2 linked regions of the Coturnix japonica genome follow. The protein of the gene in region 1 purifies or fractionates together with the protein of each later gene. This does not show direct contact. Links are inferred from orthologs where the notes say so. Each region holds a gene or a part of one and is shown on either strand. Other genes may lie near its edges. The genes, in order: DOCK1 and ELMO1.

The links.
Region 2: the proteins of DOCK1 (region 1) and ELMO1 purify together in Homo sapiens (affinity purification with western blotting; 12 studies listed by BioGRID and IntAct, counting the BioPlex papers as one, with this or other methods). This does not show direct contact. The link is inferred for Coturnix japonica from reciprocal best matches to the Homo sapiens genes DOCK1 and ELMO1.

What each region holds. Positions count from the first base shown.
Region 1 is NC_029521.1:29,236,676-29,240,589, reverse strand, and holds the start of DOCK1 (dedicator of cytokinesis protein 1), read right to left. Parts: upstream 2,749-3,914; 5' UTR 2,633-2,748; coding exon 2,587-2,632; intron 1-2,586. UniProt on the Homo sapiens protein: Involved in cytoskeletal rearrangements required for phagocytosis of apoptotic cells and cell motility. Along with DOCK1, mediates CRK/CRKL regulation of epithelial and endothelial cell spreading and migration on type IV collagen.
Region 2 is NC_029517.1:42,475,946-42,479,759, reverse strand, and holds part of ELMO1 (engulfment and cell motility protein 1), read right to left. Parts: intron 1,633-3,814; coding exon 1,582-1,632; intron 344-1,581; coding exon 221-343; intron 1-220. UniProt on the Homo sapiens protein: Involved in cytoskeletal rearrangements required for phagocytosis of apoptotic cells and cell motility. Acts in association with DOCK1 and CRK. Was initially proposed to be required in complex with DOCK1 to activate Rac Rho small GTPases.

The sequences.
Region 1 (3,914 bases):
GGCTGGAATAGAGGCTGGTACCTCCCTTATCTCAGGATATTTCAAATGAGGGCCAAAAGCCAAGGTGCTACAGCTAAAAATAAATGCCCCCAGTCACCACACCAGCAACCCACAAATACTGGATATTTTTTGGCACTACAACATCCTGACCTGAAAATCTGGCTAAGTCCATCCTATTTCAAAGCATCCCAAATTAGGCAGGTTATCATTTGCCCGTCGTAACAAACCAAACTGACCAGTAACAAGGAAAAAAGTCCCAAATGAGGCAGCTTGCAGCAAAATTGGTTTCCTTCCTGGGTTGGTTTGTTGTTGTTACAGTTGTTTGTTTTCAAAAAGCACGTGTGGAAACACAAATCTTACTCAGGACATTGCTTACCTGGGCTTATCAGGTGCTGGTTGAGGACTGAGAACTGCAGACACCACCTCAAGCACCTGCACTACCCTGTCTACATGGGGAAAACCAGAGAGCAACCAGGTGAGCCACAGAAGTGCATCCACACTACATGGACAGTCAGAGATTGGCAAATTACTCAAGCAATGCTGGTATCTTTGATATACTTAACATTACCATTGGCCTACTACCTGACATTGCACTTCCAGGCATCAGGTGCCATCCTGAAGTAATGCATTCAATACAGCTCTACAGCTCCAACTGGGATAGGCAGCAGATACACACAGCTCCTGGACTTCCTGATGGTCCTGCTGAGAAAGCCATGCACCCACACAGCTACCTCCATTCCCAAGCATGCCACATCCCAACAATGAGATGAGAGCCAAAAACACAGAGCTACAATGGTGAAAGAAAAAGATGAGCGGCATCAGGAGTGCAGAAAATCTGCAATTCAGCTGTTCATTTTCCTCTTTCAGGCTCCCTGTGTGTTCATCTCATACATCCCTCATGCTATTCCATCCCCACCCATTCCTCATCCCGCCTCCCCACGCTCACAGCCCCACCAGGAAGCAGAGCTGAGTCACGCTCACGGCTGCCCTCAGAGATAAGTCTTATGTGCTGCTCCCTGCGTGAATCCTGGGCACGAAGGAGCTGCTGGAACCCAGCACTGTGGGATGGGATGGGGGAGCTGAGCAGAAAGAGCATCTCCTCAAGCAGCTGCATCCAATGTCTCCATAATTTACTCCCCATGCATCGCCACCAGCAGCCTTTAGGACTTGAGAAGTTAAGAGTTGTGCACAGGAACATGCTAATCTAATGGGGGAAAAAAGCTATATATGCATTACATATAAACATTTGGCTTTTACAGACACATACACTTCTGCTCTCCCCCAAGGTAAGCAGCATAACCCACAACCAACAACACCCTCCTGCTGATTGCTGCTTCTCTTCAGTGCAATGCCCACACTCCATCAGCTCAGCCCTGCAGAGATGGATGGCAGCTCCATTAGCAGCCCTGCTTGGAGGACGCAGGCATTGCTGGTTTGCTGTCATACACCACTGTTCTGCTGTCATTCTCCAGCACTGGTTGTGGCAAACAGTTGAGAAGACAACATTCCTTTATTAGGATGTTCACCTTAACAGTGTTTTCTCCATTGCACGACTTCTGAATTGCAGGAGGAGCCTCTGCTGAGCACCCTGAGCCCATTCAAGAGTTACTGCTCCAGCACACTCCCAACACAAAACTGTGCTCTATGAAGCCACAGAACAAATCAAAGACTTTAGTTTTTAATTATACCTACATTCACTCTCTACAAATGCACCTTCCCACACTGGATACCCAAAGCTTTTATCTCACCACACTCAGCTGCCTCCATAACGCCTTGTTCTCACACAGCAAAGCATCTCTAGGATATTATTGCCCTAAAAAGCACCTCCAGCGTGAGGCATCACCCTGCAACACACGCTGCATGCCCTGCAGTGCACTCAGCTTTGCAACACCAGCTCACAATGTGGGTATGCACAACTGATCTCAGCATCAGTGCAACACTGCACTGGAGTGCAAACACTCCATCTCTTATTTCCCAACGGAACACTCGGGTTTGTTATTCCCTCCTGCCGCTTTTCTCCTCCTCAATCCCTACAAAACACTTTCAATCCCAACGAAACACCCTCCGGGCCTCAGCCCGAGAACAATCCTCCTCTGTGCAGGGGACGGAAACAGCCGAGGGCGACATGGATCCTCAGCAGCAGCGGGGAAACCTCAGCACATCGAGGGGCACGGGGAGAGGCCGGTAAGAGAAACCCGTCTAAGCCAGAGAGAGTGGTGCTCGTGGCGGAGTGAGGGGAGAGGAAAAAGCACACAAAGCTGGAACTTTTTGCTCCAGGACGACTCGAGTACGGGCTGAGCCGCGCTCCCGCACTAACTCCTCAACTCCACCGGCCGGCAGCTGCGGGAAGGGCGGCCGAGGGCCGGGATAGAAGCGCTGGGGAGCAGCCCTATGGAGCAGCCCTATGGAGCAGCCCCGGGGCTCCGCTCTCGCCCCGCAGATCCCACCTGGAAGCTGCGGCCCCGCCGGGCCCAGCGCAGCCCCCGGCCCGGAGCAGAGCGTGGGGGGGATCCCCGCTTAGTTCGCGGAGCGCCGCAGCGCAACAGGCGGGCACGGAGCCCGAGGGGAGGCGGGGAGGGTCCTCACCTACGCCGTATTTCTCCTCCCTTTTGGTGGGAACCCAGCGGGTCATGGCGCTGGGGCGGCCGGAGCGGGCGGGGATGCGAGAACCCCGCTCCTACGCCGCCATTTTCCAACCGCGGGACGGGAAAAGTTTCTACCGACGGCAGTCATGTGGTGCGGGCGGAGCCAGCGGCACGGCCCGGCCGGGGGGAGCCGGCACTGGGCAGCCCCTGCACGGCGGAGCCGGCCCCGCCTTCGTGGCCGAGAACCGGGGGGGTGCAGAGCGCTGATCCCATCCCGGACGGGACCCAGCGGCTCCGCTATGGAGAGCCGGGCAGCTCCAGAGCTGAGGGTATCCCGGCCTCACTGTGCAGGAAAGCATCGGTCCCACTCAGAACCGGCTCTGTATAAAGCAGCGTGTTCCTCTTTATCACACCGGACCGCTTCCCAACTCTTCCAAACAACGTCGAAGTGTTGGTTACTTTGGTTTCTGCCGTGTTCCCCGCCTGGTCAGCGCCCAGAGATGCTGCACTAACTCCTGGTATCACAGGGCATGTAGGGTCACTGTATACAACAGCACTCGTTATCACCAGGCTTGGAGCCAAATACTTGATCCCCAACATCTGAATGAGGCTACACCTCATTCTACAAACCTTCCCTTTTCCCATCTTTGGGATCCATTGCCCAGGTCACTGCCTGCAAGTTCAAACTAACCTGAATTTCATTGCTCTTGTCCTACTGAACTCAAGGGCTGCTGTGATAAATCCAACCTTTGCACTTTCCCACATTATGTCCTGGAGTGAAGAGATCAAAAGATTCTCCAAGTCAGCTGCCTGGCTTATCATCTTTATCCTGCATTAATGAGTAAATGATGAGAGTCTTACCAAAGACAACTTACAACAGAGCTCTTTGATTTAACAGGTTTATTTTTCATAAGATAAATCAAAGTGAATTAACTGGGATAATGGGCATACTCGTCCTGTTGCTGTAGTCGTCTTTATAACTTCTTTGTAAGGCAAGCAAAAGGGGAGTGAAATGGAAAATCAGTGCAGAAATAGTAGTTATTTCTAGTGACAAGTCCTGCATGGCCACAAACTGCACCAGGGGAAGTTCAGATTGGATAGCAGGAGGAATTTCTTCATAGAAAGAATTGGGTTTTGGAACAGGCTGCCCAGAGAGGTGGTGGAGTCCCTATCCCTGGACATGGCACTTAGGGATGTAGTTTAGGGGTAGGCAGTCATGGGACTTGATGATCTTAGGGGTCTTTCCCAACCTCAGTGATTCTTTTAGTACTGATATATTCTTTTCTGTGGTGCCAGCAAGTACCTGTAGCAAAAGTGAAGAATCTGAAG
Region 2 (3,814 bases), on another chromosome or scaffold:
AGAGAAAGGCCTGGCCATTTTGCTGTACTTCTGTACATGGAATACAATAGCCAGTTCATCTTTTGACATACAGAAAACAAAACCGAACATCACATCTTGAAAGAGAGAGAGAGATTGTGCAGGCATTCCTGGCAGTGTCTTTTCTTCCCTAAAGAACTTCAGGCACAGCAGTGAGTAGCTGACTTCTTCCTGTTCTAATAAGATCATGTCAGACACTTACCTGATCCTGTGGATCCATTTTTGTCATCATTCTGTCTTCCAGAAGGTTAAAAGTAAGTACTTGGAGAACGTAAAGTTGATGCGCCATTTCATTATTGATGGCCCTCTGTGCCCTGATAACATGCTGTAAAAGAAAGAAAGACTGCAGTGAATGCCACTGTATCAGAAAATCACATTAGCTGGACTCCGGTATTTTCATTTCACAACTGTGATCTACATGAGGGATATGGCTTAGAAATGTGTTAGTGTACAGTACCTTACATATACAATACAGAACTACCCCATTCACAAAGCAGTTACCAACTAGTGGATAGTTTAAAAATCCCTGTTGTGCCTAAAACCAAATAGCTACAGGCGAAACAGGCCCAGGTTACTAAACACAGCAGGGAAGACATAAGGAAAGTCAAAAGGAGATGAGTACAACAGTTGAAACTATATTTCACTGAAGCTTCAGAGAAAGAAAAACTATCTGCCAAAGGCTACTGAAGTAGCATCTTATGACAGTAAACAAACACTTAAGAATATTATCCACATGCTTCTACCAAATTTCTTATGATCACAAGCAATGCAAAAACATGCTGCCTTAGGAAACAGATTTCCTGTTTTTTGTGTGTGAGTTTGTTGTTGCTGTTTCTTTTGCATGTATCACTAAAATAACGACAGAGAGTGAAAAAGGGAAAATGTTTGTTTGTTGCTGTTTGGTGTTGCTTTATACTGCCCACTAACTCACAACAGATACTGAACTCACTCTTTTTAAGAACTATACATTATTCCTTTGCAGAACTGATCTATGCTAAGGTTGATGTCAAAATCCCTACGACTTCCAAAGGTAGTTGAAGTAAGTCTTTATAGACCATTCAGTAACTTCACTCTGGGCTATATATCCCGCTTCCTTTATCCAAGTGGCAACAAATCGTGTGCAACTTGATACCAAGATACAAAGTCACCTTTAGAACCTAAAAACACAGAAGCTGATTTTGCAACTGTAAAGCCCTATGCGGCTTGCATGGTTTTCATCAGGTCTAAAACCTAACACAAAGGACTTACTATAAATGCTTTAGACATTCCCTAAACTTCACAGCCAAGTTCACATTCTCAATGGGAAGAAATTGCCTGAAATACTGTTTTTTTCATTCTGCATTGTACTGTCATGAAGAAATAAGAATTTATTGGGCTTGAAAAACACCCTTTCTAATCACTAGTTTTGAACCCATTCAATAATGAGATCTTTGTCTTGTACATTAAAGGCTTCCAAATATATCAAAATGCAAAGAGCAATGAAGATAAAACATAAGCACATCAAAGCTCAATCCAGCTTTTCTCTCTGCTAGTGAAAAGTAACGCTGAAAATTACATACTTACAGTTAGGATAATGGAGCGGAGCTGCTTTTGTGCCAAAATGTTTGCCATTTCCTGATTTAGAAAAAAGAAAAATAGAAACAGGTATTTTAGTGCTATTCCTATAGCAACATACCAATTGATAAGGCTTTAGTCTTAAGTTTCTGCAGTGTTTCTTGTAAGAAAAATGAAGCAGCTTATCAATTACAACTGTAAGAGTTATTTTTGGTGCCACAAACTCAAGATTACTTTGCTATGAAAAAGGGACAAAGAAAGTTAAAGGTTTATTAAGCTGAAGACTTTGGTGATCCAGTAACAGCAACATAAGATCTCAGAGGAGACTTCTGTGGGTTAAACAGTGCTTCTTCACACACCTGTTCAAGCACAACTCCCTCACAACTCCCACTCCTCAACAACACAGCATGAGCACCTTTCAATCTGTCAGTCAGGCCTTTAAAACCAGACATCAAACAACACACACATTTATATTAATATTTTGGCTGTTTCAAAGCCACATTCTCTAATTTTTAGATTACAGCTCAACACTGTTTTTTCACGGTAACTAATACTTCTCCCCTGTATGTTAGTAGCAGTGTTGGCACTGGTCCACTGTTTTGCCTTCAGTTAGTTTCTCTTTCTAGAAGTAACAGTCAAGTTTCTATCAACCAGGATATGTTTTGACTTTCTCTCTCAGGCATCTGGCCTTGGCTGTCCATGCTGCAAGCTACCCTAAAATGCATAGGAGAGAGTATTTTATACTGATCAAGCATGAGAGCTTGGTCTCCTCAATCATGCCTAACAAGCACATATCCTGTCTTTAACTTTCATGCTTTCCATGAATACATGGGTGTGAACACATGCCAGCATACATGTTGCATATATCAATGCATCTAATGAATTTGGATAATTTGGGCAACGTATTGCACTCTGCTATTTAGATGCTGCTCGTTACATGAGTAAAACAGCTAATAACAAACCTTACCCTCATGTGTCTAATCAATGATCTGTTAGTGTATCACAGACCTACATAATACAGCACAGCAAATAATTGTTGACACTTGCTTAAGAACATTCTTAAAATGCATTATCATTCTGCACAGTCGCCAGCACATCAAAATAGAGGAATAACGAGGAAGAAAGAAGGGACCAATACCAAGAGAATCCCAGCTTATAGTTTTTAAGCCTATTTTTCCGGCAAAGCTGGTTTCAACTTCACATAACAGCTGAAGAATGAATGATACAGACACATCAATTCTCTATGGAAATGCCCAACTGAACTGCAGGGGGAGTGCCAGGAACGTGAAACAACTCATGTTACACAGCACAGACTAGCTTTGTTACTGTGCAGCTATACCCGGCAAAAAGATGGACAGACTAATTATGAGCTAGGGCATTCTTTTTTTTTTTCTGCATTCAAGATAGAAGCTGAAAATTCACTTCAATTTTTGGAGACAATAAAGCTGTTACTTGATTCGTATATGTGGAAGTTAAGATGCTGTTACCAGAATATCATTTGTGTCCACTGAACCAAAAACTATGACAGGGGCATCAAGAATTCATAAAACCTATTACTATAGCAAAACCAACTTTGTCTCCAAGACACCTGCATGGCTCTTAGCAGCTGATGAGCTGTCTTCTCTAAAACAAGTACTGTAGTAACATAGGAGAACAAAAATTACATGACAAAAGTTGCCACCTCACTTCTCATAGAAACGTGTCCCTGAGAAAATGCAGACAGTTTGAAGGGGCGGGGGGAGAAGCTCTTCAAACATTCACAGTATCATTTCACTGCACAACATCTCTTTTTTAACATATAAAGTTCTCTTTCCTCATTTTTAAATAACCTGGGTATTTTTCTAGATGATTTAGTCCTTAACAGTGGCAGAGGAAGCAAGGTAACAAGAGAAGCCTCATTAAAAACTTGAAACCTCTTGGTTTTTTGCATTACAGAAATGGGGGTGGAAGTGTTTAAAAAATAATAAATTAAAAAGTAAAGACAGATATCAGTGTGACTTTAAATCCTTTTCTTAAGTGCAAGGCAGTCGCTCGTGTCATACCAGGTCCCCTACCATGGCAGCAGTGAGGGTGTCTCCTTGCATCAAACAGATTTTGGTGCAGGACTAGTCCCGAACTTGTTCAAGTTCTGGCAATCTGCAGACATTTCTCACACGTTCTTGTGAAATAAGGTTTTGTACAAATGACTTGTTTATTAAACATTTTCTATTTCCAATTTTATTTTGTATTATGTTCATTTAAA